2 linked regions of the Struthio camelus genome follow. The protein of the gene in region 1 binds, or shares a complex with, the protein of each later gene. Links are inferred from orthologs where the notes say so. Each region holds a gene or a part of one and is shown on either strand. Other genes may lie near its edges.

What was found. Proteins that work in one complex are often made in the same cells at the same time.
Region 2: MED16 (region 1) and MED21 share a complex: the UniProt entries of both Homo sapiens proteins name them as parts of the mediator complex. The link is inferred for Struthio camelus from reciprocal best matches to the Homo sapiens genes MED16 and MED21.

The regions. Positions count from the first base shown.
Region 1 is NC_090967.1:7,420,129-7,427,143, reverse strand, and holds the start of MED16 (mediator of RNA polymerase II transcription subunit 16), read right to left. Parts: upstream 3,005-7,015; 5' UTR 2,949-3,004; intron 2,370-2,948; 5' UTR 2,305-2,369; coding exon 2,169-2,304; intron 1,856-2,168; coding exon 1,748-1,855; intron 1,474-1,747; coding exon 1,304-1,473; intron 388-1,303; coding exon 1-387. Other genes in the region: R3HDM4 (R3H domain-containing protein 4), read right to left, coding at 5,467-5,570, 6,649-6,704, 6,841-6,926. UniProt on the Homo sapiens protein: Component of the Mediator complex, a coactivator involved in the regulated transcription of nearly all RNA polymerase II-dependent genes.
Region 2 is NC_090942.1:77,129,364-77,136,446, forward strand, and holds the start of MED21 (mediator of RNA polymerase II transcription subunit 21), read left to right. Parts: upstream 1-4,064; 5' UTR 4,065-4,103; coding exon 4,104-4,145; intron 4,146-4,465; coding exon 4,466-4,580; intron 4,581-6,502; coding exon 6,503-6,603; intron 6,604-7,083. Other genes in the region: TM7SF3 (transmembrane 7 superfamily member 3), read right to left, coding at 524-608. UniProt on the Homo sapiens protein: Component of the Mediator complex, a coactivator involved in the regulated transcription of nearly all RNA polymerase II-dependent genes.

The DNA.
Region 1 (7,015 bases):
TGGATATTTGTCTTTGCGGGCAGGGTCTGTGGTGCAACGCATGAAAAGGGACGGCAGGATTTCAGTGTCTATTTTGCACTTCTCATTCACCACGCTGACGCAGACTTTGTAGAACTGGACAGGGGAGGTGCTGCTGCCATCTGACGTGGCCACCACAATGTTCCCACCGCCAGTGAAGGCAACATCTGCCAAGGCAACACGACAACGGAGACGGCACAGGCTCTCTGTGGATGTCAGCACCTGCCCATTGGGCTTGAGGAGAGATACTGTCACCAGACCACTGATGGTCACGGCAATCCAGCCTTCCATGGGCTTCCCGCCAAACAGAGTCAGGGACGGAGAGAACTTGACCCTGGAAAACTTCTCACCAAAGTTTGATGCTCCAGACTGTAAGAGAAGATAAATAACACAAGGACGTTTGTATCTGATATCTGCAACGCACCTACAACTGCATGGCTCTCCTCTAAGTCACTGCAGCATGGTCTGGGGAGCTGAACAGAGGCTGAAATCAGGGCATCGAGTTCATATGTCCAACTCTGTGCTGTGACCTTGCAGAAGCCCCTTTCTCCCTGGGTCAGGGCAGTTCTGGTTTTACAGGCAGCAGCAGGAACTTATCAACCCCTCAGCAAAGCTCTCAGAGCATCTCAGAGAGCTCCTACCTCATATACGCAGACTGAACCTGGAAGAGCCAATGCCCCCTCTCCCTTCTGCGGCCATTTCCAGCTCTGACACTAACCTATTGCACAGCCCCTTAAGTTTCTGTGCCTCAGGTCCCCGAGGTCTAAAGAGAGGGAAACATTTCTCTCATTGGAACACTGCAGAAGTAAACATTTTAAAAACGTAAGCAGGTAGCTTCTACTTGGCAGATTTTCTGTTTTGTGAGCCTGACAGAATTAGACATGTTGCTAAACAAGCAGCTTATCTATGTACGCATACAGCTGTCATTACCAAATCCCTGGATCAAAGCTCATGACCTGGAATGCATTTCTTCCACAATATCGCTGGTAGGCAAAGAAATGCTTTTTATCTCCCTTTTACAGCCAAGGACACTGAAGCAGACAGACTAAGAAAGACATGTTTAAAGCACCAAGAGAAACAAGGTATTTAATTCCTGCTGCAACTCAGCAGGAACTAGGAATCTGAGTTTCCTTTTTTGACTTTAAAAATTCCCCTGCTTGACCTGCCCAAGGTCACGGAGAAAAACCATGGCAGAGTAGGGTCATAAACATAGGTTTCCCAAGTCCTTTGCTAACAACCTGAGCCAGCTTTCCTCACTGGATCCCCATGCACAGCTGAGACAAACCTTTTCCACATGCAGAGCCAGCTTCACACCATTGTGTAGCCAGGACAGGGCCACAACAGGGTCTCCTTCCACCATACTGCCCACAGTGTTCTCCCAGCTGTTGGCCAAGTGATCAGTCATGCTCCAGCATTTAATGTGTCCATCTGCATCTGCCGAGAGGAGCCTGGAGCCTACAGTAAAACAGCCTCGTTAGAACCAGTGGGTACAGAAAAAAAATCACTAGGAATCAAGAAATCAAAATATCCCAGTGCAGATTTACCAGAGTCAAACAATTAATGGCTATGAAACGATGGGTGCAGTACAACCCCTAACGGCACATGCAGTCAAAACAGAAAGACTCACAAAATCCCTTTCTACAAGCTATCACGCACCATCGTTTTATGACCTGTGTGCGCATGAAGGAAGGGTGGAACAAAGGGATAATGAGAAAGGATCCAAACTCACCTGACTGATCCCATTCCAAACAAGTGATGATTTCAACGTGGCCAGAGTTAACAGAATAGACATCCCATGGATGCTCCGTGTCAATGATGTGGACCATGTGGGTGAGATCTGCATGAAGAGAGAAATGAGTCACTGTGCCTCGTTACTAACTCCTTAGCAAGTGTTTCTCAACCCACAGATCCTGAGCTGATGCAGGGGGAGCCACAGACTATTTTCTGTCAAACAATTATGGGAAGGACAATAACTGCGCTTGGCAGCTCAGGTGAGATAACTGGTAATAGTGCAGAACTCGCCCTGGTTCCGCAGAGCCTGAGAACCACTCACCAGTGAATGAAACACTCATTAAATCTCAGGAATGTTAGAAAAAGGAAGAAGCATAAGTTTCCATGTTACTGAGCAACCTTTCGCAAGCACGCTGTACCTTTTTCCTCCTCATTTTTGAGGTCTGTGGTGAAAGCGATCAGGTTTCTGCAGGACCAAGCACACACTAAGGGGATGGAAGGACAGTGGTTGCTTTTCGGCCTCTTCTCCCACTCACAGACATATGCCAAATCCATTGCGCCTCGGGTAACCCCCAGAGGCCCCGCTGGCCCATGGGAAGCAGACACACAGCTTTCGGTGCCTACAGAAAGCGGAAAAAGGTGCCTTTTAGATGCAAAAAACCCAGCCAGTTCTACAAGTCACAGACACAGGCCCAGTTAAACCAGCTCCCCCAGCGAAACCTGCCCGGCCCCAACAGCACCTCATCCGCAGGGGCCGGGCTGCCCCAACCCCCCCCCAGCAGCTGGGGGGGGAGGGGAAGGGCACAAGCCCCTCTGACAGGGGTGGGGGGGAACTGTCTGTTGTGGGGGGGGGGCTGCCCTCCACGGAGGGCTGGGGAGAGGGGGAGCTGCCCCCGAGGGGAACAAGGGAGGACACCCAACCCCTATACGGGGTGAGGGGGGGGAACTGCCCCCCTGGGGGGACTCCGGGCCCCTCGGGGGGTGGGGGAGGGGGATTTGCCCCCCCCGGGGTGAAGGAGGGGGAAGGGCCCCCTCGGGGCGGTCGGTGCCCCCCCCAAAAGGGGGGTAAGGGAGGAGGAACCGGCCTCCCCGGGGTGAGGGAGGGGTATCCGCCTCCGGGGGCGGTCGCTGCCCCCCGGGGGGGGCGAGGGGGGGGGAACTGCCCGGGGGGGGGGGGCGGCGGGAGCGGCCCCACTCACCGTCCGCGGCCCCGCGCCGCCTCCCGCCGCGCCGGAAGGACCCCGTCCGCCCCCCCGCCCCCGCCGGGCTGCCTGCCGCGCGCCTGTGCAGAGCCCCCGCCCTGCCCCGCGCGGGGCGCTCAGGCACTTGCCGCGGGCAGCCCGAGACAGAGGCCCCCTCGGCGAGACAGCCGTGCTAATTTACATAGAGGGCTACCCAGGATCCACCGGCGCTTCGGGAGGAATTATAACCGGTGGATTTGGACGAGTCTGGCGAAATCAAAGAAAAGTGAGTCATTTAGAATAGGAGAAGTTGTTAAGATGGCATTCAAAAGTGCCTAGTGACGCTACCTCTGTATCACCCTAACCAGTGTATTATCTAATGAGGGAGCTATAAATAGCTTCGGGGGGACACCGGGTTTCGTGCTCGCTTCGGCAGCACATATACTAAAATTGGAACGATACAGAGAAGATTAGCATGGCCCCTGCGCAAGGATGACACGCAAATTCGTGAAGCGTTCCATATTTTTTTCACCCAGCCATGCCTTTTCTCAGGCAGAGCCAGAAGAGGGTCCCCCCTCTGCTCCCTAAATTCCCCCCTCCTGCATCCCAACCTCTGCCCCAAACCCCAGCCCGTGCCCCAACTCCCAAACCCCCAGGGCAGCCCCAACACCATGCACGCAACACCAGCAGCCGTCAGGAGCACCATGGTTTATTGTTCCTGCGTAAACGCCACCTGTTTCCACATCACGCAAACAGACGAGAGGAGCGACGACTTTCCCGGCTTTCCCCCCCAGCCCCACTCCATCCGCGGCAGGCAACGGCCCAGCACGCCGCTGCCCCATCCTCAGCAGCGCTCCTCTGCCCGGCCGAGCGAGCTCCGCCGTCCTGCATGTCTCTAGCTGCTACAGACACGAGAGGAGCCCTCGACACATAGCAGAGACACGCACCAACACACAGGACACACAACACCCACAAGCACCCTCGCCCGTCCCGCACGACCACGCCGGGAGGCTGAGCCCTGCCCCAGCCAAGCAAGACGGGCAACCAGCAGGAGCTCCGACCACACAGCCTGGAGCTGTGCTGGCGCACACACACAAACATATAAAAGACACACTATGTTACATTTAAAAACAGCCCATTACCCCCCAAATATAAAAGGCAGGTCTGCGCACCAGCTTCTCACACCAACTGCAAACCAGAGCAGCAGCAGCAGCTCGGACCAGGCTGGCCGGGAGACCAAGGGGGCTCTGCAGGAGAGTTTTGCCTCCCGCTGCGGCGCTTAAACACCGGGGCAAGAGTCCCGGAGCTCAGACCGGGGAAGGGATGCCCAGTCCTGCTGCTCAGGCCCAGAGGCTTCCCTTTAGGCAGAAATCTCTTTCCCGTCCCTATCAACCCAGGTCCAAATGTTCTTGCTCCTCTGGATCACTCTCCAGTCCTTGGTCTTGGGTGTGACTCCAGAACCGAGGCAGCTCTTTTCTCACAAAGCTGCTTTCAGTCCCTTTACTGAGGAGATGGGCAGGGGCTGAGCTTTACCATAAGCTCCATCACTGGTGTCAAACTGCTGGTCCTGAAGCAAAGCACTTTCCCCTTCAAGAGGGCGACAGATCAGAGGCTCTTCCACTTGCTCAGCGTTTGCTCAGCCACATCTGAGCCGAGGAAGTCAGCAGCTGTGAGGAACTATTTCATCATAGAAATACCTGGGCCAAAATCACCCCGGAAGCATCACAGTGCCAAAGGTGGTTTTGGTCCAGCCTGCTCATTTTTAAAAGCATCTGGGCTATAAATAGACTCACAAACACTTCCAGGCAGAGCAGCTCCTGCTGGGAAATAGTGCAGCAACCAGGGAAACAGGGCAAGCACGGCAGATAGGCACCTGCTTTGCCCACGCCTTGCGCCCTGAGCATGGTGATATCTCACAGCACCATGCAGCCTGGAGTCTCTCTGCCAGATTAAGAACAGAGAGCGCTGGCCTGGGAAAAAAAAAAGACAATCTGGCCTCTGCAGAAAGCATGCCAGCAGCTGAGCAAACGCTTCCACCTTGGTGTGACAAGATGAGCAGGTCTCACCCCACCTCTCCACCCCTCGGCTGCACCCGGAGAGGCTGGGACGGCAGCGTGCACCATGTTCAGCCCTGCGCTGTCCAGACTGTGGTCACACCTCGTGCACGTGCCGGTGACCAAGCCTGTGGGCCGAGTCGACGTATTCCTGAGGGAATCAGAGCGCTGTTCCTCGGAGCAGGCCCGGGGCTACATTGGGACGGAGGGCATGGCTGCAAGCCCCTTGCTCTGCACCACGTATCGCGGCTGTCATCTCGAGCATCTGCTCTTGGAGGTGGGGAAGGGAAGAGCCCCGAAGCAGGGCACATGGAGGGAGCCGATCCACACTGCGCCTTGTGGTCCCTGCGCTGCGCAAGGGGAGAGGCGAGCGGCAGACCAGGCTTATCCGGGTGACAGGGACCAAGCGACTGGGAGAGGCCAGGAGCAGATGGACAAAGCCTTCAGCACACCAAGCGAGGGGCAGGGCATCCTTCGGCGTATCAGCTCATCTGCTCCAGGTAGTCTGAGAGCAAGAGCTCGGGGGGCAGGAAGACGCGGTGCTTGTTGCTCACTTTCATTTGGCGTTTCCCTTCGATGTCTGAACCTGGGGGCAAGTCAGAGCGGTTAAGGTACCACTGTCCCTCAGCCAGGGGGTCCCACAGCATCCTGCTGCAGGAAGGTGCCAAGTGGGACATCCCCGGCCCAGCTGCAGCTCTCTCCTCGCAGCTGCTCCACTCCTCCCGATGAGTCCCTGCAGCTCATTTCTAACAAAGGTTGCCCCATGCTCTGCAGAGATGCAGAAAGAGCAACGGTCCGCTCTCCCCACACATCCCTGCTGGCACCACAGGCTTCACTTCACATCATTAGAGCTCTTCTGTCATTTTCCACAAGCAGCTGCTAATGAAATGCTGAGTGGCAAAGGTTCATTTGCAGAGGCAAAGACCAGCGCCTCTTGTAGGATGCCTTGGCAACAAGACCCTTTAAAGAAACCCATGGGCAAGGTGCAGGCATGGCTGCGCTCTGTGGGACGACACAGCAGCCGCAAGGAGCGAGCCAGGCAAGCATCCAAACCCAAAAACAAGAGGAGACGTGGCTGCGCTGCTGGGAATGAGATGTCCCTAGGCAGAGCTGGGCCTGGCCACGACCATGGCGGATGGACTTCAGCCCACACAAGCCACACGCACGTGGCGTCCAGGCCGCTGAGCCTCTGGAGAGGCACAGGACGACCGGGAGCAGGAGGGACGCTCAGCCCAGAGTAAAGCCTAAATGGTGGGGACAAGGCGCAACCTTCTGTGCGAGGAGACAGCTCAGTCCCAAGAGGGGCTGAGCTCCCAGGATGTGGGGCAGGATCCAGCCCCAGTTAGGTCAGCCCAGGAGAGCTCCCTGCACCCTTGGCAAGGGCAACGCGGGCAAGGGGACTGCAGCCAAGGCAGCGCTGGGATTGCCTGACCCCGGGCCGTAACCGATGTCGTCCACCAGCCGCGGCTGCTGGCTAAGCAGCGTGAGCGTGGCTGAGGCTCCCGAAGGAGTTACAGGCAGTGGGGGCAGGAAAGCAGGGTTATCTGTGAGCCGCAGCAGAAGGTGGGGCTGGGAGGAGGAAGGGAGGAAGAGGCTGAGCTGGAGAGGAAAGATAGCAATGCAGAGAAGGGGAAAACACAAGCAAACAAGTGCGAGGCTCTTACTGGCAGAGACGAGGTCCATGTATTGGCAGAGCGCATGGAGCAGGAGTCGCTCGAAGCTGGAGGAGAAGGGGAACAGGAGAGTTAGAGCTGGCATGTCTCAGACCAGCATCCCCCCAAGTGTTGTCCTGCCCAGCTCCTCCCAGCAAACTCAAGGATCAGATACGGGGAGCACAAGGGAGACTGTGGAAATACCTGTTGTCCATCAGTGCTGTGTAGACTGAGTGAGGGGTGACGGAGAAAAAGGCCAGCAGCTCCTCCTCCAGGCACTCCAGGGTCCCCTGGAAGAGGAAGCAAAGACCGTCAGCACGGAGAGGGCAGCACTGGCAGAGCCCTGCTCAAGTCCTGCAGCAACAGGCAAAAGATGTAG
Region 2 (7,083 bases), on another chromosome or scaffold:
CAAACTCATCAGCACCACCGCATCCCTGGTGCCCACCGCAACAAATTAGTCAAGCAAACCTACTTAAGAGTTAAAATGATGGCGTTTGTAGCAATTGAGACTGTGGAGCTGTTCAACCCTCCTCCTTGCTTAAAAAGGGAAGGGGGGGGAGGGTCGAATGAGTTCTCCCCTACCTACTCTTTATGCCAACATCAGCAAAGACTAAGATAACCTTTCTTTTTCCCCTCCTGCCCCCCTCAGCTCTTCAAGCAGCTCTATCTTTGCTTTGATCTTAGCTTAGGCTCAAACCCTGAGCGCCAGGTCCCCGCTGCCTCAGCGCGCCCGGCGCCGCTGCGAGGAGTTCCGGGCAGGGCCGGGCCGGGCCTCTCCCCTCCCGGCCAACGGCCCCGCCATGTCGGCCGCGCTCGCACCGGCGCTGCGCTGCGCTGCGCCCGCTGCCCGGCGCGCACCGACCGCTCCTGCCCACCCGCCTCCGCAGAGGACCCCCGCGGCCGCCATGAGGTGGCCCGCCGCGCCCCCTCACCTGTGGCGGCGGCGGCCGCAGCAGCAACGCCGCGCAGGGCCCCCAGGAGCCCCAGGAGCACCACGGCGCAAGGCGGCAGTCGCATGGCGCTGCGGAGGGAAGCGGAGAGGCGGCTCAGAGCGGGCGAGAGGCGGAGGCGGCGGCGGGAGGCACCGCGGCGCCCGGCCCGCCCCCGAGCCCGCCGTGAGGAGACGCCGCGGGGGGAGGGGCGGCACGGCACGGACCAGCGCGCGGGGGCCGCGGTAACGGTCCTAACCGCCGCCCCCACGGCTCTTTATCTTGCCCGGCCCAACCGCCGCCTCCGGCCCGCTGCTGCTTGGCCAGGCTTCCAGGCTGGGGAGAGGGGGAGGGAGGGGAATCTGTTTTTCTTAAAGCCTCCTTTTTTTTTTTCCTCTCTCTTTTCTTAACGTCCCCGCGGTTTGTTTCGCAGCGCTCTTGTCAAGTGCTGCGGAGCGCTCCCGCACACGGGAAGCGCTCTCGCAGCCGGCCCAGGCGCCTCCGCTTGCGGCCGTGATTCATGCGCACGGGACAGGGGAAGCGGGAGGCAAACTCAAAGTCTTCCCGCTTCTCGCCCTTGCTCTTTGGAGTTCTTGCCAATGCGAAGCTGCTCTCGTGAATATCTGCGCCTCGTTTATGAATTCAGGCAATAACCTAAACCTTGAGCAAGCGTAAGCCGTGCGCCATCACCCTCCCTCCCCTCCCCTCCCCTCCCCAGCTTTAATCCATTTTTCAGTTAACAGAATGTAAAATAAAGCTCTCATTCTGACATCCAACAAACAAAGAGATGCATACTGGTTCATGTTTAAGACTATAGTTATTTCAGTCAAATGGGTGAACTCTCTTCTGCCTACCTTTGCCTAAGGTCCTTCGGAAGGCAGCCTGTCTCAGTAAGGATATCTAGTTTACTGATTTTTTTTTCCTTCTGCCCAACAAGGTTCCTTAGGTCAAAATAAGTAACGTTGAAAGACTGTTAGGTTTAGCGCTTTGCTCTGAGCCACTGTCCGTCAGAGTCGGCGGTGAGACCTCGGCTGTTCTTTGTTCACGGCTCCACGTGCACACTACTTGCCCGTGTCGCAGAGGAACAGAGCCTGAGAGAGGCTTGTCTCATGCCGCGCGCCTCATTTATTCCAGGCTCACGCCAGCATCCGTTCAAATTGTGGAAGTCCAAAAAAAGCCCGTTCATTTCCAAAACAGCTGGAACTCCCTTAAAAATGAGCAGTACTTTTTGCTATACAACATAGCGCTTTGGTGACTTGGCTTTTTAACCAAGGAGTGCGAAGAAAACACGCATCCTAGTTTATGCATGCAGGCCAGCAAAATCAAGGGTGTAAGCCCGACCATATTATTAGAAACACACTTTTGTCAGAGTAGTTAATATGGGGGCAAAGAGGGTAGCTGGGGGAGCCTCAAGAAGATTCCTCCACAGACACATTGCTGCTGGGTGGCTGCACTCGCAGCTTCTCAGAAAAGTTAGTCAGAAGAGACCTCTGGAGGTCTCTAGCTAAACCGCTCACTTGAAGCTAGACTATGGCTGACACCAGATCAGATCAGCCATGGCTTCATCTAGCCAAGTCATACAGACCTTGAAGGCCTGAGAGCACACAGCCTCTCTGCGGGACCTGTCCCAGTGCCGCATTGCCCTCCTCGTGCTGAATAGATTTCCTAATGTTCACCTGGGCCCTCCCAAGGCCATAACCGTGGTCATCAGCAGAGGTCCCTGACTGGGGAAAAGCTAACGTTATACCCATCTTTCAGATAGGTGAGAAGGAAGAACTACAGACCAGCCAGTCAGCCTCACCTCCAGGAGCACATTCCTTCCCTTGGGATCCATTTCCAGTCGGGTGACGGGCACCAAGATAATCAGGAACAGACAGTGAAGATTTACCAAGGGCCAAACATTCTTGAACAACCTGATTGCCTTCTGCAGTTAAATGACTGGGGTGTGGACAAGCAAAGATTAGCAATGTAAAAATACTTAGACTTCAGTAAGGCTTTTGATGTCGTCTCCCACAGCAAAAGTATCAGCCAACTCTTTCAGGCCCTCTGGGTGCTACGCTGGTTATCAGCCACCAACTGGACATCAAACCATTGATTACAAGCTTGGAAGCCCAACGGTCCAGCTGATTTTCAATCCATCTAACAGCCATCTCATCCAGTCCGTACTCCCTGAACTTCCCAGTGAGAATGCTGTGGGAATACCTATATCAGAAGATTTTGTATCACAGACAGGATCATTATCCTGTAAGTTTATCTTTAGCTGTTCAATGACCAAAGCTAAATATCAGCGTACTGACTTGCACAAATTGGTATTTCCTATTTGGTAACCTGCAGGTATAGCAAACTCCTGCTGAATGTAAGCTGGACTGTTGAAGATATTACCACTCCTGGCTTTTTACCGCTCCTGGTCACTCGACATTATCACCTACTCAGCTCAAGTGCTGGAGTGGACCATCAGAGTGCTACTTCTGTCTTTATCCAGAGGCAGAAAGATTGTTGTACAGCAAAAGCTGTACACTTTGTGGCTCACCAGCCTTCTATTGTCAATAATACAAGAATTCAGTTTTTTACCGAACTACAATATCACGTGAGTATGTACTTGTGTCTCGGAGAGAAATAAATTGACTTGAAATGCCAGTTCTATACCGAATAGCACATTTTATAGTGCTTTTTCCTCTTCTGTCTCAGTACTTGCCCCTGTTGAACTACTCATAATACATTCTGGGCCGAGTTCTTGTCCCATTAAAATAAAATGATATTGCTCACCATGACTCTTAATGATACCTGGATTTGCCCTTGGGAACCTGTTCTTTCTAAGGCCCTTGTAACTGAATGCAAATTATCTAGAAGGTTGTAGTCAGCCTCTGGATGCCCCTATAGCTGCTGCTATCCCATGAGATTAGAGACATCTGTTCTGAAGCATTCATCATAGGTAACACTTGTGTTATGATATATTACTGATATGTGCAGAGCTGCTTCTCATTCTTACCATGAAGGCAGCTTAACAAAAATTCACTCCAATTTTTGCTTTCAAGTTACTAACTCAGACTAACCTAACTATGACCCTGATTGTGGGCAGAAGAGAAAGAGACTTGTGGTTATCCAGAAGCTAACAAAGCTGGCAGGACTGTGGACGGGCACGAGGGTCCGCGGGCAGGAAAGGCCCAGGCTAAGGTCCGAGCCTACCTTTCTAAACGTAATTACTTGACGTTGGGGCTGTGGCCGCAGCCCCGCAGAAGCGCCTGCGTTGTCTCTGTACAGCCCAGGCGTGCGTGCGCTGCCTGCCTCCGCACAAGCGGGTCAACAGCTGCAAACTGCACCAAAGGCAAGGAAGCAAAAAGCCTAAGAAAGTGGTTTCCTGCCGTTTTGAAAGGCGGGCTGCCCCGGTTCTTACCGCAGCGCCCCCAGCCCGGCCCCTGCCCCGCCGCAGCGCCGGGCTCCTCCCGGCCTGCAGGGGGCGCGCCAGGCGGCGCCCCCTCCCCCGCCCACCTTCTAACATCGAGGCGTCCCATTGGCTGCGCCGGCTGCCAGGCGCCTTGTCGGGAGGTGGGGGCGGGGGGGTGGCGGCGGCGGCGGCGGCGCTATGGCGGATCGGTTAACGCAGCTGCAGGACGCGGTGAACTCGGTGAGTGCCGCGCCGGGGGCGCCGCTTTCTTCCTTCTCCACCCCCCTCCTTGCTGTCCGCCGCCGCGCCCAGCCGTTGTTGGCCGTTGGGGGCGCGAGCGGGGCGCCTCCCGCTTCCCCCCCCCCGCCCCCGTCAGGGCGCAACAGCCGGCGGCGGCCCCGAGCCCCGGCGGCCCCGCTCGCCCTGGCGGTCGTGGGCTGCGGGTGCGCTCCCGCCTAACCCCGGGGGGCAGCTGTGCTGCCTGAGGGCCGCTGGGATGAAAAATAAGCCTGAAATGTCTTTAGACTGAAGTAATTTAACCCTCTCTTTACTGCCTGTAGCTCGCAGACCAGTTCTGTAACGCCATCGGCGTGTTGCAGCAGTGTGGCCCCCCTGCCTCTTTCAGCAACATTCAGACAGCAATAAACAAAGATCAGCCTGCTAATCCAACAGAAGGCAAGTCTTTATTTCTGGGTCTGCCCGCTCAGGGTGAACACGCTCTGGTACAGTATGCACAGTAATTCAAGATTTGTATTCTATTTTGTGCTTAGCAAGCATTATTCCAGCAGTAACTGGAGGAGTGATTCAGGTCAAATCATAAATTGATGTCAGCTGCACGTGCTGTATAAGAATTTTGTGTGTTAACTGAGTGTTGAAAAGCATTTCTTGTGCAGATACAGTAAGCCTTCAGATATAATAGGACTTTAATAGGACAGCTGTGAGATGCTTTTACTGACTTGTCCGTTATTTTGAAAATTTGTTTTTGAGAATGAGTGTAATTTTTATCAAATAATGCATGAGTTTAAAACTTTCCGTTTACAGTTTTAACTTTTCCTGTGTTTCTTCAGGCGTTGTCTGCTTATCTAATTGATTAAATAATACTACCTTGTTAAATCGCCCTCTTGGCATTTGGGGTTGGGGGTGGTGCTGAGAGAAAAGGATCTAATCTATGGCATTGCAACTGGAAAGCAGACTAAAAGACAGTTCTCTCCTCAATCTGAGAATTTAAAGTTAGTAATCAAATAAGCATGTTATTCTAATCCTGGGTACCTTTCAATGCTTCTGTGGATGTTCTGGTCAAAGCATTTTGCTAAATGATGATTTCTTTTTTGGCTGCTGTGTATTTTCCTGAGAAAATTTGCATGTATCTTGTATCAGATTAGATTTGACTATTGGGATATCAGGGGAGACTGGTTTGGAGCACAGTGATGCTCTTTTCAGGACAGCTGTTGTCTCATCCTTCATTGGTTTGCTCTCTGGTGTGGGAATTAGTTGGAGAAGGTAGCCGAAAGGTTGGCTCGCTTCCTCACGTCACTAGCTGCTGTCCCAGGTACTAAGTATCAACATGACGACTTTGGAGCTCAGAGGTTTGTTAAGGTCTTAAAATCATAGTCCATGATCATCTTTTGTTTTGTCTTGTCCTGAAGCTCTGAATAAAGTGAATTCAGTAAAATCGTACAGCCAAGTTAGCGATGCTGATCAGACCAGACTAAACTACTAGTTGCATGTCTTCAGATAGCTAAAGTCTTGATAAGAAGGCCTTAAAAGCATATAGAACACTTGTTTACAGGCCAAGAGTATATATGGGATGACACTGAGCAAGCTTTAATGATATGTGTTTTGTTTTGTTTTTTAATTAAAGTCAAGTCTACCTCTGAGAATGTCAATCTCTGCTATAGATCTTACCATTAGAAAATATTTTGTCTTGCTGCATGAAAGATCTTTGGAAGCAATCAACATAAAATGTGTAAGATCTTAAGCTATAAGCTAAGGAGGGATGTCTGAATATTTTAGCTAGAGTTATGAACTTCCAAGTCAAACTCAAGGTGATTTTCTGCCTTATAGGGCTTCTTTGGAAGAACTGTATGCACTTTTAATATGATTTTTGTAGCCAAAATAAGATCTATTACAAACTTGTCTCTTTTTCCTTTCTCCGTGACAATTAACTTTTCCTCTGGCTGATCTTTTTTCTTCTTCAAAAAATCTTCTCAGATTCTTTCACTAATGGTCTGTTCCTTGACATAATAACTTACTCTGTGCATTTGAATCTCTATTACTATTTTCATGTAATTTCTAGTGTTCTTATATATAGTGGCAGATTTGAAGGCAAAGATTGAAAGGTTAAATGAGTTGCTAGCTATTTCTGAATACTTAATGTAGCGACTAGGACACTTGATACCTTTCACTAGTAATTTCTGAAGTGGCTAACCATGATGGAGTTCTAGCTATTTTCTCATTTCTTAAAAGAAGCAGTGCAAGGAGAAATGTTAACACTTGAATGCTTCAGATCTTTTTAATATTCTGTACTCCATATGCAGAATTGTGCTTATTTCTAATAATGTATCGAGTAGGCTGATATTTATTTATTTATTTTTAAGAATACGCCCAACTGTTTGCAGCACTGATTGCACGAACTGCAAAGGATATCGATGTTCTAATAGATTCCTTGCCTAGCGAGGAATCGACAGCTGCTTTGCAGGTAAGAGCATTCTTAATTAAACTATCAAAACATAACTGAAGACAGCTTACTTGCTTTCTTTCAGCACACTTTCTTACTCTTCAGACCATGTAATTTTGAAAAATGGCTTCAATGTAAGCCTGAATTTTTCATGAGGTTAGACGATGAATTCTGTGTAGGCTCACTGGAAATCCTGCTTCTTGCATCTAGTTCTTAATTAAATTCTACGCAGTGTGAATATTTTAAACTTATTTTTCTCTTAGAAGGGTTTCAAAAAAAAATCTGCTTTTTGATAACATCACAGTATTCTAAGCAGCTATGTGTTTTTTTCCAGCTTTTCAAATACTAATACAGCAGATGCAACATTGGCTTTTTTTCTTGGATAACCTTTCATATTCTTCTGCCCATTAGATGTTTTGTTTTGTATCTGCAGAGTCAATGTTTTATTGAAGCCTTATGTTCTCCTACAACGTTACTAACTGTTAAAGGGTTTGCAGTATG